Linked DNA regions of Pelodiscus sinensis. The protein of the gene in region 1 interacts with the protein of each later gene in a biochemical or structural test. Links are inferred from orthologs where the notes say so. Each region holds a gene or a part of one and is shown on either strand. Other genes may lie near its edges.

Region 1 (7,659 bases):
CATTCATTTTCTGATATAGCTTTAAAACTATTCAGAAAATTTTTCAAAAATGTATAGTGTGTCCCTTTTAAAAATGATACTCACATATCTCTCTGAGTTGTGAAGAATTTGCATTAAGGTTATGACAACCAACAAGAATGCACTTTGACATAGAAAGCCATGATTAAATTAAGCCCTCCTAACTAGTGATACAAATCAATTTTATTTAAATCAAATCCAGGTATAAAGCACCTGTTGAAAGAACTTTGAAATCTATCAGTGAAAAAAGTATGTATGGTGGGAATGGCGACAGGTACTTTTTGTAATTATAGTACCTGTGTTTTTGGAAGAGGATACAAGAGATTAGGTGACTGTGAACCAAAGCATTGCATCTCACTCAATAGCAACATAGTGCTAGCTTTAGGAGTCACCATTTAGGAATCAAAGTCTAAAGAGAGGACAAGTTTGTTCTGAGAATTCTCACAGCTCAGTTTGCATATTAATGATTTAAACAATTTTAATATCTCATCATTAGGCTGACAGTATGACATAGTACATTTTGGAAAACTGCCATGGCAATAATGCCAACTCAAATTATGACTAGTTACTGTTATATTCTGTAGCAATTCAACTATTTTTGCAGAACTAGGCCTCATATTTTTGGTTTTCAGGGCAACTATGAACATAAGTATTTCCCCTTTTGTCCTTTACATTGTACTCGTTATATGCTGAGAGGGGCTAATAATATAATATTACATTTTATTTATGAAATTTCTCCCGCTTTGCAGAGAGACTTTTGTCATGACAAAACAATAAGACTGACCTATTCTTTGTCTTTTTCTCAGGATATACTAATTTCCTTTAACAGGTTGACCTCATGGTCTAATACAATCAAAGCTCGACATAAGTCCACTTACGGCACTAAATTAAAAGGTTCTTTATACATTTGTGATCCTCTAATTGCCATGTGAACAGTATTCAACCTCTCTAGTCTGGCATCCTTGAACCCTGACTGGTACCAAACCAGAGAATGTGCCAAACCATAGCGGGGGAGGGGGTCAATATTGTCTACCAGCATTACCAACACTGCCATTGCTTACTGGGTTCTTAGAAGACATTTAGGGGTAAAATGGAGATATATAACAGCACAGAACACTGGGAGCGAGGACTGGTGGCTGAAAACAAACTTAATGGGACCTCAAGAAGATTGGTCACATCCATGATAAGTGGACATCCATCTAACTAAAATCATGCTGGACCATGGATGCTGCTGGACCAGAGAGATTCAACCTTTATGACAGTCTCTTCACTCTACCAATCCATCCATTCACCTACTCACTTACTCATCTACCTTTTCAATGCTCATTGGTATTAAAAAAAACAAAACAGTCTATATAGATGAAAAATATATACTCCTGGCATATATATATCCAGGCACTGTAAGATCAACATATCTGCCCTTGCTACCGAGCCACCAGGTGCACACAAAAATACCTACAGTTTGCTAAGTATGCATAGGCCATTTAGAAAAAGAATCAAATACATCCACGAAGGAGAGTCTTGACAGCAATACAAAAACTACAGAAGCTCACCTACCAGAGATCCCAGCGCAACACAGAAAACACGGGTGCGAGTGAGAGCAGAGTTAACCATGAGGCACTCAAAGACCCGGCATCCCCCTCCCCCAAGGCAGAGGGGTTGAACCTGCTTGGCAGAAGCAGCCACACTAACGCACTGACATTGGGCGGCCCAGCTCCCTACCGCAGCGAGGGCGGGACACGCACCTTCCAGCGACTCAGCCGAGCATTGCAAAGAAAGTAGCAAGGAAAGTTCACGCACCCGGCGAGCCGCTGGGCGGCCAGGTGAGCTGGACAGCCGGGACCAGCCCGCCCCCTGCTCGGCGCGCACTCGCGGCTGGGCTGCAGCCAGGCGAGGAGTTTGGTTTGTTTCGCTTTTTCAATTCCGTCCGGACACAAGCCTGGAGCTGAACCCGGAAGCCCCCGGGCGGGGTCCCTCAGCCTGGGCCGGGGGGCTGGTCTCGCTGCCCCCCTCCCTGTCTCCAGCCGAGCCCGGGGACTTGAGCGCGCTGCCTCCACGCCTGGGGCGCGCTCCGCGCTGCTGACACCCCGCGTAAGCCCGGGCGGGGCAGCAGGTCACAGCCCGGCCTCTCCTCCGGGCCGAGCCCTCCTGCGGCCGCGCAGCGAGAGGCCGGGAGCCCTGCACCTGCCTAGCCCTGGGCGGGGGGCACCGCCATCTGCACTAGCCCCCTCGCAGCAGGTCGCTTCCCCGGCCCCTCTCCCCTCCCCCTGCGGCTGGCCCTGCACGGGGGGGGGCGGGACACCTCACGAAGGGGAGGGCAGCGAGGCAAATGCCACCCCCACCCTACACACACTGAGCAAGCCACCGAGTCTTCCTGCCCTCACAGCCCCACACGAAGGCAGAGCCCACTGCGGTGAACAGGAGGCACGTGCGCTGCCAGGCCCGGACATTATTGGCCCCGGCCCCACCTCGCCACCCCCAGGAAGAGACACAGCCATTGCAAAAAAAACCCCAAACAAACCATAACGCACCCAGCGCGTCGTCTCGGGCTCCGGGGTCTGCGGCATCCACCGGCGGGGAGAGCGGCACGAGGGGGGAGGACCCCCCCCCCCCTTTCCTGAAACCAACCCACCTAGCGGGGGCGCTAGCGGCGAGCTGCCCCAGAGGGGAGGGGAGAAGAGAAGAGAAAGCGCCGAGCCAACGCGGAACTGCGCGCCTCTCTCCCCACCGAGCGCTGCAGCTGTGGGGGGGGGGGGGGGTTGAAATACAATTGCTGCTGCCGCCGCCGCCTAGGTTGCGCCCCCCAGGTGGTAGCGAGCCGCCGCCGCCGCCCCAGCGCTCCCTGCTGCAAGGTGAAAATCACCCGCTGCTGCCGCCGCCTGGCGCCTTTCCGTTCCAGCCAGAGCGCCGGGTCATGCAGCACCTGGGCTCAGGCGGGCAGCGCCGGTGTCACTGCAGGGCTCGGGCGGGCGGGGCTGCTGCAAACCAGGAAGAGCTAGAAAGACACAGACAAGATGAAGCGCCCGGCTCGGGGTAGAGAGGAGCGTCAAGGAGCATTCTGGGAAAAGGAGAGCGGTTCAGTCGGGCAAGACCTGCTGCCACGGGGCAGAGGCGGAAGAACTTGCTGCCTGGCGCAGGTAGCGGTGCCGGGCGTGGAAAGAAGCGGGGGTGGGTAACATGAGAGACTTCGCATTGAAAGGAAACTTACCCAGAGGTTGGCCCCGAGTCCAGGATTGCAGCAGAAGTCTCAACACTGTCGTCCCTAAACGCATGAACAGTGCTCTGTGCAAATCTGGTGCAGTGAACGTATTTAGTGTCCTGATAGAGGGCAGCCTTTATGTTAGGGTTAAGGCTCTGCACCAACTCCAGGCATATAGCCCACTAACTGCACAGGTGTAGCCAGAGAGTGTTATGGGACTAGTTTGTTTGCAGGATGCAGTGTTGGTAATGGACATGGTTCTATTGCAAGACCTGCTACCTAATGTGTTTCTAAAACTAAAAATCTAAGGGTGCGTATACCCAGCACCCTTCCCTCAAAATAAGCTACTCGATTTGCACTGCACAAATTGTGCAGACATTTCCATGTTATTTCTCTTATCCCTTGTACAATGAGGTTTCCAGGGATGTTGGAAGAGCAAACCCATTATATTTTGATATAATGGGCTTGCTCTTAAGTTGCAGAATAACTATTTTGGGATACCAGAAGTATCCCAAAATTGCTCTGTAGTGTAGACATATCCGAAGAGTCATTATATGATAGGCTTAGAGTTTGTACATTTGTCATGATTATGAGGGTTAGCCAGCAGCCTGGGATTAAGGGGTTAACTACACCTAGCCAGGTGGAGTGACCAGTAGGAATGTAGGTGGGACTTTCAAACTGGGACAAAGGAATTTGGGTTTTTTCCTTTCTCCCTTTTCTCTCTGGGTGAGTTCTCTGCAGCTACAGAGAGGGACAAGCATGTCTCTCTCTTCATTTTCTGTAAGTAGGGTAAAGTTTAGGTAGCTTCATTAGGCTTTATTGTTTTAAGGGTTGGGTATGGGATCTGATATCTGGCACTGCTTAAGAGATGTTTGGCTTTTCTTTTTAACTAAATTCTAGCCCATGGTGTAACTCCTCCATGAGTATATTTGGTTACCTTTCCATCTGATCCTTATGCTTGCAACAGGAATATTGTTGTAATAATAAAAGTTTTCTCTTTTCTTTTTATTAACCTGGCTTTGGTTACTTGTGTGTCCTGATTTTTATAATAGGCGTGAGATTTCCCAAATGATCTTTTCCCTAATCTCGTTATTAATATTTGGGTGGTGGCAGCGGAAGTTTTCTTCCCAAAATCTAGGTTTTTAAGATTTTGGGGGAAGTTTTATATCAAAGCCTGGTAGATAAGGCTTTGGGGTACACTTGCTGGCCCCCACTTCTGCATTTATCATGCCAGAGTGGGGAAGGAGCCATGACAACATTCCTTCCCACAAAAGGTATTATTTAAAAACAAAAATATATTTAAGCCAATCCTTAGTGGGGGGGGGGGTCCTGTGAATTAATATGCTGCTGGCATATAAATGCCATTAATATGCATTATCTGCACAATACAATATTCATGCTTAATATTATTGGTGCTTAATGCATGTTCTGTGCATTTATATATAACAGTGATGTAGCCTATACTGTTCTTTACCATACACCTGTTAATTTATGCAGTGTATCCCACACTGCCTTGCATTCGCAGAAGTAAGCATTTGGCACAACTGTATAGGAAACTTGTCAAAAATCAAGATAGAAGGAATCTGTTTCTTGATTCAAGCTGGGAAATAACTTTTCATATCAGTCCCTGGAATGTTAGTATCCAAAACAAAGATAAGGAAGAACAGAACAAGTTAGGAAACTGAAACAAACTTGTGGGCTTAAATTTTAGTGGCATGTAAAGAAATATGTAATTTATAGGATTTTGTTAATACCAGGTGAAATACGTAACTGTAGCAGCATACCTTCTGCAGAAAGTGAATATTGCATGGGACTGCTCTTTGGAGACTGGAATTTTATATTGAACCTTTTTCCAGTACCATATTAATAAATATGACTGACATTGGTTACTTGGTCTCTTGAGTATATTTCACAACAAAGAATATGTGGTCAAGAAATATTTTTGCAAATTGTCTCCTCAGAATTGCAGAAGTGGAAAATCAAGGTCACACACTTTGGTTACAAAACAGCTGCCTCGTCTCATTCCTAAACTCCTTTGAGCTATTGTTTTTCTGTTGTCCTTCTTTTGGGCTTTCATTCTACTTTATGTCCCGCATTTAGGCCTTAACACATTAGTGGGCAACCTGCAATTCGATGGCCCATTGGGGTTCTATGAGTGGCCCACCAGACACTTTGTTACTATTGCCCACATGTAGGGTTGCCACTAACCAGGCTGCTGGTTTTCATCCGTGCACGTTTTTTTCCTACTGATATTAAAGCGAGGGCATGTAAAGTGAGGTACATGTTGATTGCACACAACAGTGACTGTGAGAGCCATGCACTCCCTCTGCATCAAATCAAAGTGCTGCTACAGCACACCTCATGGTACACAAGCACAGTTAGCAAAACTACTCTATCCCAGGAGACTGTCATGGCTATGACAATGGTGCAGCCCACTGAGAGGAGGAGGGCCACTCATGTAGCCAGATTGCCCCTCATTGCCTTAACACTTGGAGAGTTAGGAGCTGCAGCCCTCCTAATTATTCCATATTTTTAGTGTCACTATTAACCATTTTATTTATAGCAGCAAATACCTAAATATTTGTAACATCTTTGATTTAAAAAAATAAGCAGAAGCAGTTAAGGTAAGAAGTAAGAAAACCTTTGGAAATTTGGGATCAGTTTGTGAAGTCATTCTCATTGATAAGCAATTATTGGCACAATTAGTCTCACTGAAGCACCTGTGATAATTTTTCTTTTTCCATTAGGATTAAGGATTCGCAATGCAGCCCTTTAATATCAAAATTTCAAAGTGATAGCATGCTAAAAATTAAGACAGTGAAACAAAATACTACTGTACCACAATGAAAAAAAAAAAACTAAAAAAGTCCAAGATCACAGAACTAGGGAAGGAAGAAGAAGAAGAAGAAGTAGAGGTGTCTTACACATCAGCTGTACAAAGTTCTGGTCATTTTATATTCGGGGAATACTGAATACAACTTTGACTTAAAATACTTTATATAATATCTCAAAAATGATTCCTCTCCCCATTTGAATCTTGTAATTATTAGGAGCATATTAATGAGGAAAGTTTAACTACAATTTTCTAAAGAGTTATGTATGTGCTTACTTTTGAGCATGTGATTAGCCTCACCTTTAATTGTAAAAAGGTTAGCAACTTCAAAAAAAATGAATGTTTTTATAGATGCTCGTGTGACAGATGGCATTCTTTGGAAGCACAGAAACGTCAAAATATTTTGTTGAAATGTGCCAGAAACTTGCAGGCTCCAGGAATACTAATAAACTTCTGTATCTATAAATAGTATATTTGTGAGATAGGCACTGTGTTGTAGCTTGATAGGGAAGGATTATACATCGTGCTCTAGGAACTAAAATCAAGGGAGAGGAATATTTACTGCAAAACCCAGGATAGGTACACAATTATTGGCCTCAGCTGCATGCTTCCAGTGGCTGGTAAAACAAAGGAAGTTATCCACTGAGTTTACCAGCTGAGGAGAATAGGGTTGAGTGTGTGGGGTTGTTTTGTTTTTTTTCAGTCTACAAGGGAGAACCTGGTATGCTAATTCTTCCTCTGCCTGTACCTATAGAGTCTTCTGCCATATAGGCATCCTAACCCTGGAGGCTTTTGCCCAGGCTTGGTCTGGACTTGCTGGGAATACAGGCTCCATTTCCCCCACCAAGGTCTGTTGGTGTAGTCAGTCAGGAAGCAAGTCAGAGAACTTCAGAAGAAATGGTTCATTTGTATAGTCTCTTGGAGCACAACATCAACAGGATCCATATAGACACATCTGGGATGAAGGTTGCTATCTAGCTATCAATGACTGCAGAACCTTCAGATAATGAGAATAGGCTTCTCTGCAAGGTGGAGACAGGCTGCTACAAAAAGCAGAAACCTGGACATATTGCTAAGGAGTACAACAAAAGAATAGCACAAGTATGTAGGATCAGAATCAGAAAGTTGCAGGCACAGAAGGAGTTGGAACTAACAAAGGACATAAAAGCCTGTAAGAATAGGTTCTTTGAATAGGTTAGGAACAAGAAAAAGATAACGGAAAGTGTTCTCTACTTAGCAGGAAAGGAGAGCTAATAAGAGATGACATCAAGAAAGCTGAGATGTTGAATTTTGCTCAATCTTCACTAAAAAGTTTAATGGTCACCAGACACTCAATACTATTAACATTGACAACAAGGGCAGGGGCAGTGGGTATCATAGGTGGGGGAAGGCATTGCATTCCCAAACTGCCAGGCATAGCTCTGCCCATACTCCACCCCCAGAACGCTTACTAGGGGGTGGAATGTTGCTGCCCCCGGGACTGCCCTCCCCATGCTCTGGGTGGGGAAGCTGGGGCATACCCCTTCCTCCCTCCCTGTGCTCTGGGGCCGGGGAGGCTGGGGGCACATGACGCTACATCTCTCTGTGGTGCAGGGGTGGGGCCTGGGCG
Region 2 (7,792 bases), on another chromosome or scaffold:
CAAAACCTATGGACAAACCATGCTATTTTGTATTGGGCTAGTGCATTTCACTGAGAAAAAAATAAAGGGTACACTAGAGATCAACTGATGTAAGTTAAAAAAATAAAAAGGAGGAACTAAAATGTGCTACCTTTGGTCCTGCAGATTTCTATGAGGTTCACTACATTCTCATGCTTGAGCAGCTGAAGGATTTTGATCTCACGCAGGGCTGTGATGGGGAACTAACAAAGAGCCACAAGTTAGAATTGCAAGAGAAGATCCCAGTCTAATCTAGATCAGGGGAGGGGAGGAAAGGGGAGAGGAGATAATTATGGCAGAAATCTCAAAGAGATGTATTCAAGCAGACAAAGTGCTGCTGCTCAAACCACAGCTAGGGTCAGAACAGAGCCTAACACCAACATTGTGCAGTTCCAGATTTATTCACAGTGACTTCCAGTTTATAACTCTTAGCACCTAGTAACTAAAATAGCTTGTGTTGACTGTCCGGAACACCAGACTGGATCAACTACTTAAAAAAAACCCTGAGATGTGGAAGAGAATCCAGTGTGTTGTTGCTTCTTGAGATGACCAGCAAAAGCAATACTGATGTTTGCCATTAAAACATGGAGACACTTGTTAATGTGTGATCCCAATTAGAATGCAGCTCCCCATCTCCTCAATGTATGAACTTTACCATGTGAGCAGAAGTGAAATCTTATTGGGCTCAACAGAGATGCGATTCAGACACCCATGTAACATGGAAAGACTTTTGTTTTAAACCAAGTTACTTCCTGATACATAGGTAGGGGTTTAACTGGTTAACCAATTAAGGGGAGGTGCAGTCCAGATGGGCTGGAGCAGCCTCTGCCTGCAGTGCACCCAGGCCCACTGCCAACAGGGACTGCTCCGGACACTCAGGAGCTACTCCGGACACTCAGGAGCTACTCCGGCCCCCACAGTTTAACTGTTTATCCAGTTAACCTTTTACATCCCTAATACACAGAGCAGCACAACACTTTCTAAATTGAAATTATTTCTATATTGGTTTTTACTGCTGTAGATCCTGCAAAGTTACACACACAATGAATTTCCATATCCCACAAAGATTGAGACATTGTCTACTAAAGACATATGCCCAGCTCGCAAACTCCCACCCTTCTAACCCAGACACAGTAGAGGCACATGCCCAGCCATCTTACCCCCTCCTTCTCATTTTCCATCAGCACTTTCTTCAGAGCCACTTTCTTGCCTGTCTGCCGATGTTTTGCTTTGAACACTTCCCTGCAGAGAGGATAGAAACACATGGGCATTCCTGGAGGAGTTGAAGTAGCCAAGTGGAGCAGGCACAGCCAGCCAAGACTTAGGATGTTAACTAGTGATTAATTTATTAGCTGAGTTGATTACTAGTTGATAAGCACTTCCACGTTCCACCTTTGAAATATACAAGAGCCCCCAGGGCCCTGGGCATTTCAAAGTTGGTATGACACACACAGCCCAGCAGGAAGTCCCACTGACTCCATAGGGGCACTTCTGCTTTGAAATGAACAAAGTCACCAGTGGGGGCTCTTGCACATTTCAAAGAGGAAGCATCCGCATGGAGCCTGGGGTTAACAGGGGACTCATGCTCCATGCTGTGCTTCCTCCATGCCGCTGGCAACTCTTGCACAATTCAAGGATGGCATACTGGACGGAGCCTGGGGTCAGTTGGGGAGTTCCCAGCTGATCCTGGGCTCCAAGAGGTGCTGCTGCTTCAAAATGCCATGCAGAACCCGGGGTAGTCCCCAGCTAATCCAGGGTTCTGCACAGCATTTCAAAGCAGCAGCACCCCACTGGGCTCAGGGTCAGCTGGGGAGTCCCCAACTGATCCTGGGCTCCAAGCCACTTTGAAATGCCATGTGGAGCCTGGGGAGGCATTTTGAAAGGGCAGCACCACATGGAGCCTGGAGTCCCCAGCTGACCCCAGGCTCCATGTGGCACTGCTGCTTTTAAGTACCCCTCCTCTTTTCTCTCCCCCTCGCTGCCTCTATCTGATAAGGAGGGGAGGGGGGGGAGCAGCAACTAATTCTTTACATCCCCAGCCAAGACCAAACAAGACATTTCTATGCTTGCTTACAGGCAACTCAGTGCTGACCCTCTGCCTAGCCCAGGTCTTCCCACTTCGTGCCAAGAAGCACCACAATCTCCTAGGGTGCATCTACACAGCACAGTTATTTCAAAATAACTGATGTTATCTTGAAATAATGCGAGTATCTACACAGTAATTTTATTTCAAAATAATGGATGGCTTATTCCAACATCTTTAAACCTCATTTCACAAGCAATGTACTGTGGACACGCCCCTGCTGCTATTCTGAAATAGCGCCTCCCCAGGGCCACTCAAAGTAATTACTCTCTAGTGCAGCATTTCTTAAACTGTGTTCCACGGTACACCGGTGTGCGCCGAGGCAGTTGGAGGTGTGCCTTGGAGAACAACAGAGTGCAAAATGGCCAAACTTAGAGGGGCAGGAAACTTTTTTTCCCCCCCTCAATAACTCCCCCCCTTTTTTTTTTGTTGAGCAAAAAAATAAAAATAAAATAAAATAAAATCCTTGGGTGTTCCTCAGTCTTAGAAAGTTTAAGAAACACTGCTCTAGGGCCTCCTGGGGCTCTAAATCAAGGCAGCGCATCCACATTAGGGGAACCTGACTGGGACTAACTTTGAGGCTCCCCTGCAGTGTAGACGTGCTATTTCAAAACAAGCTATTTCTGAGTATTTCTCCTGGAATCGCTCATTCTGAAATACAGGTGCGGTGCAGACGTACCCCGAGAGAGCCGGCTCGCAGATTCCAAGGCAGGTGAGACCGGCAATGGACCAGCCTCTCACCGATCTCCAGGCGGGGGGGGGGGGGGGGATCTCAGACCCTGGGCATCTCCTAAGACACCAAGGCATTTTGGAGGGCGAGGGCGAGTCGATCCCTCAGCGCCCCCGGCGGGGGGGGGTCGCTCCCAGAAGGCCGGGCTGGCAGGAAGCCGGGTTGGGGGCGCTGGGGGCCGCAGGGCAGGGGGCGGCCCAGACCCGAGCGCTGGGGGGGGGGGGGCTCTCACCCGAACGTGCCCTGCCCGATCTTCGCCAGCTTCTCGTACTTGGACACCTCGTCGCAGAAGGGGCACTCCACCGTGTCGTACTGCTTGGCCATGTCGGCCCGCAGGCCCGGCTCCCGCTACTAGGCCCCTGTCGCCCCCGCGACTGCGGCGCGTTTGCTCACGTCATACGCCGGGCACGTCCGCCCCCGTGAGCCTTGCCCCGCCCCTTCTTCCGCCGCGCCGCCGCCTGGGAGTTGTAGTTCTCGTAGACCTGGCACTTGGTTAGCGGTCCGCAGCGCCAAGGGCCCGCCCCCAGGAGTCCCAGGCAGGGACCTCGGGGCATCGGCCCAGCTCCGCCCTGCGCTCCCAATGCTCCCCGGCCGGAAACTGCAACTCCAGCCTATAAGAGAAACTACGTTGAGCCGGGGCAGGGCCAGTCAAAGCCATTGGCCTGGGCCTCAGGCTCAAAGGGAGCCTCACGTTCAGACATGTGGCTGTGTCTACACTGCACCCCTGTTCCGGAAAAGGGATGCAGATGAGACAAGTCGGAATTGCAAATGCAGCGGGGATTTAAATTTTCCCCGCTGCATTTGCATGAACATGGCTGCCGTTTTTTCCGGCTCGGGGCTTTGCCGGCACAACGCGCCAGTCTAGACGGGATCTTTTGGAAAATAAAGCCTTTTCCAAAAGGTCCCTTATTCCTCTTAAAATCAGGAATAAGGGACCTTTCAGAAAAGGCTTTATTTTCCGAAAGATCCCCGTATAGACTGGCGCTTTTTTCCGGCAAAGCCCTGAGCCGAAAAAAAGCGGCAGCCATGTTCATGCAAATGCAGCGGGGAAAATTTAAATCCCCGCTGCATTTGCAATTCCGACTTGTCTCATCTGCATCCCTTTTCCGGAAAAGGTGTGCAGTGTAGACACAGCCACAGTGTCTTGGCACTTGATAAGTCTGGTATCTTGTGTCACGGGCACCCCTGTTGGGCCCAAAATGTGACCCACGCTCAGCTTTTCCTGCATAGAAGCATTTTTACATTAAGAAACATTGAAATCCTGTCTCTCTCGTGTGTATCGCCAGTGGCCCTGACACATAGGAAATATTCCCTGATGGAGAGCACTGGTCCCAAACTGTTCAGGGTTACACCCTCCCTTACACCTGTCAATACACCCTCAAACCATCCTGCAGAGCCACAGCTCTCCAGAGGGAGGGCGAAAAGGGACGAGGGTAACAGGATTACAACTGGGGGTGGGGGTGGGTCTGGGGCCAGGATCAGCGCCACAGCCAGAGGCTAAGGCTGAGACTGACACCAGAGCTGGGTGCAGAGTGGGAGATGGGGATGGGTGCATGGTCAGTCAGAGGTCGTGGCTGGGGAGGAAGCTGGAGCAGAGCTGGGTATGGCAATGGTCTGTCCTTGCCTCTGGGGGCTGGCCTGGGCCCCACTGTGCCCCTTGTATGTTCCACCACAGACCAAAGACCATTTAGGAGGCAATGCCCCACAATTTCTGCACATTATCTTCTCAGTGCATTTCCCATCCCTGACATTCACACACACATACACCCAACCCACACTTCCTGCCATTACTCACAATCAGCAGGAGATGCAGCTGCTAGCAGTATCTCAATGCCAGTATCCATGGCATTGATGGATATGAGCAGAACGCCAGCAGGGGGGGCTTTGAAACAAGCCAACAGTATTAGCAATAAGGCAAGCAGTGAGAGATTTAGCTCTCACATACATGAGACTAAGTCAAGTCAAGCCAAGATTTCAGGCAACAGAAATGGGCCTGCTGAGAGAGCAGAAACTAGTCTAGTCAGTACAGTAGGGTGCCACTAATAATCTTACTGCCAGGAAAGGAGAAAGACTAGAGGGACTGGAGTGGTTAGGACAAGCAATTGTGAGTCAGGCCTGACTTTGCCACTGACTGCTGGTGTGGCCTTAGGTAAGTCATTATCCTCTCTGAGCCTCAGTTCTTTCCTTAAGGTAAAAAGAGAAACCTAGAGGAGCCATGTCAAAAACCTATTCCACTGGTAGTGATACCAATAATTCACTTATAGACTGGGGTGCAAGAGAACCAGCAAAAAAGGGGCAATTTGCATGGCTCCTGAGCAAACCACACTGATCAGCTTCCATTCTGTAGTGTCCTGGCTACTCTTTGAGCCCTTGTATACTGCATTAAGCACATCCCCTGCTGTCTGATCCCTTGCTTAGACGCTAGCACCACATGTATTCTCTGATCCATTGGAGACTGTGTCAAATACATTCCTGCATACATCTAGGGCAGATCCTCAGTGGGTGTGAAATGGCATTGCTCTATTGACTTCATGGTCCTGTGTCAGTTACACCATCTGTAGATCTGTTCCCTAAAGTTTTGTCAGCTTGCTGGTTCAGTGCTTCTGGGAGCCAGGGGATTATTTTTCCCAAGCCCAGAAATGAAGGTGACTGTTCCTCTCTCTACCCCATTCCAAGAGGAAGTCCCTGAATAAATAATTCCAAGGAGAAATCTGAGTGAGTTCCATGTATATTCCATTGCCTCTTCCCAAAGTCTGTGGCCCTACCCCACCCCTCCATCACAGGCCTTTTCTCAGGGATGCCAGCTCTGTGTTTGCCTGACCCTCGAGCAGGCTATTTGCCTGCTTGAGTGGTTCCTTTTCATTCTGGACTCCATCTGTTGCTATTTACTAGTTTCCAAACCAGATGCCACTCATCTTTCACCTGGTGAGCTGCATAACAGTGGTGTCATTGGAGTTGGGGATGGAGGAAAGTGTGCATTTCCCTCTGAGGGCTAGCAAGGCAGCATGGTTTTGCATCAGCTTTACCCATGGCCACTGGCCCAATAGCAGAGCAGGCAGTACACAGGGTTTGTACAGATTTATCCACCCTCCCAAGTGACCCAGACATTAGGAAAGGGGAGGAACTTGTAATCAGCAGCAGGCCTGCCAACCCTCTTGAGTGCGCTAAGGAATAAAATAACTTTCCACTTTCCTTAAGGAAACTCCCACCCAGGTCAGCTCAGATGCCCTGCAGTCTTCTCTTCCTGCAGTACACATTGTAGGGAACAGCACTGCGCTAGCCCAGAGGAATGGACAAGCTCTTACCTGGTTCTGATGACTCTGTGATCCTTGTTCACCCTACTGAGAAAAAGCTTTCCTGCAATAAACAAAAAATTCACATTGCTATACCGAGCAGAAATATTCTTTGCATGCGCAAAAGCCCTCCCGTGCCTCTGTTCTCTGGGCTGGCTCCTCCTTATGGGAGGATTTTCAGATTTCACAATGGTGCGATATCCAGTCTCATCTCCAAGGTGAAACCATTAATGTTATTTAGGAAAAACAATAAGGGGTCCTTAAGGGCTAACAATTGTATTATGAACCAATAAGTAATTCTGTGGCACCTTAGAGACTAACAAAAATATATGGGGTCATGAACTTTCCTGGGTAAAACCCACTACAAGCTTTCCATGAGCTGCAATTCACCTTATCAGATGCATGAAGTGAAAGGCAAAGGAATCAGATAGTAGGAAATTTCCATTTTAAGTATTCTCACCTTCTTATCCACATCCATCCTGATTAGCCATGATGTAACACTCCCATCTCTATGCCCCTATTTGTTTCCTTTGAGTTTCACTTCATGCATCTGATAAGGTGAATTGCAGCTCAGGTAAGCTTATGCTATAATCAAATGTTTAGTCTTTATGGTGCCACGGGACTCCTTGTTTTTGCTGAAACAGACTAACATGGCTACCTCTGAAACCTGTTTGTTAAAAAGTTTTGCCTAGTGGGAAGAGCGGGTATTCCTGTTTTATAGTGGCTTGGCCACTAAGCCACAATGTAACTTGGGGGGAAATTTTCAAAAGTGGCCTCTGGCTTTGTGTGCCTGGCCGGAGAGACTTGTACCTGCTTTTTGGAGGTGCCACTGGGAGCTCTTAGTTCTTGGCGCCTCTTAAAATCAACCCTAACTTACCTTCCCCATCCCAAACTAGCAGCCACTCTTGCAAACGCAGGTCCTGCCTTTGAGGGTTCTTCGAGATCTATGCGTGAACCAGAGGCAGGAGAGGGTGTGCACAGGACAGTGTGCGGATGCATCAGAGAGAGCCCTACGAAGGACACCAGTGACTGGCATCCCACTGTGACCCTGTGGTTTGTGGTTTGGCTTGGCATTCACTACCCAGAACTGTCCCATCTCTTTGTGGACACAGAGCAACAAGCAGCTCTCCTGAGCCTGGCAGGCTGATCAGGCCATTTGTTTCTGAAGAATAGTCCGTGGGGAGAGCACTCACGTTGGGAACACTGTGTGCCAGCTCCCCGGCACATGCACGGGAGCCACTGCCCATGACTCATCACCTCTCCTGGCTCGGGCATTTAATTGAGACGCAGGAGTGAGCCGTCGGGGCCCGGGCTGCCGCTCTCCATCCTGTTCTATCATTTCCCTACGTCAGGGGCCGGTGAGTAGATTTCTTCCGTTGCCTCTGGGGCCTTTGGCAGGAAGAGCCACAACAAACAAGAGCAGAGTGAGCTCATCTTGTGGGGGAGGTGATTCCTTAGATGCACGTCCAGAAACAGCAAGAGGAAAATGCAACAACCTGGCGTTAATGTAGTGCTGGGGAGAAATGCCAGGTCGCTGGGCCTGGGTTCTGATGATGTATGTGTATCCAGACAGCAGATCCAGCCCAGGCACAAGCAGAGCCCCTCATGCAATGGGGAACTCCCACATCACCTGGCACAAAAGAACCATACGGCAGCACAAGACCCTTC

The links.
Region 2: of the proteins of MBP (region 1) and CDK9, one has a biochemical effect on the other in vitro, tested with the Homo sapiens proteins (2 studies listed by BioGRID). The link is inferred for Pelodiscus sinensis from reciprocal best matches to the Homo sapiens genes MBP and CDK9.

The regions. Positions count from the first base shown.
Region 1 is NC_134712.1:98,087,542-98,095,200, forward strand, and holds the start of MBP (myelin basic protein), read right to left. Parts: upstream 3,001-7,659; 5' UTR 2,550-3,000; intron 2,381-2,549; exon of another isoform or gene 1,764-2,380; intron 1,646-1,763; exon of another isoform or gene 1,576-1,645; intron 1-1,575. UniProt on the Homo sapiens protein: The classic group of MBP isoforms (isoform 4-isoform 14) are with PLP the most abundant protein components of the myelin membrane in the CNS. They have a role in both its formation and stabilization.
Region 2 is NC_134732.1:10,828,177-10,835,968, forward strand, and holds the start of CDK9 (cyclin-dependent kinase 9), read right to left. Parts: upstream 3,027-7,792; 5' UTR 2,909-3,026; coding exon 2,781-2,908; intron 1,261-2,780; coding exon 1,179-1,260; intron 222-1,178; coding exon 131-221; intron 1-130. UniProt on the Homo sapiens protein: Protein kinase involved in the regulation of transcription.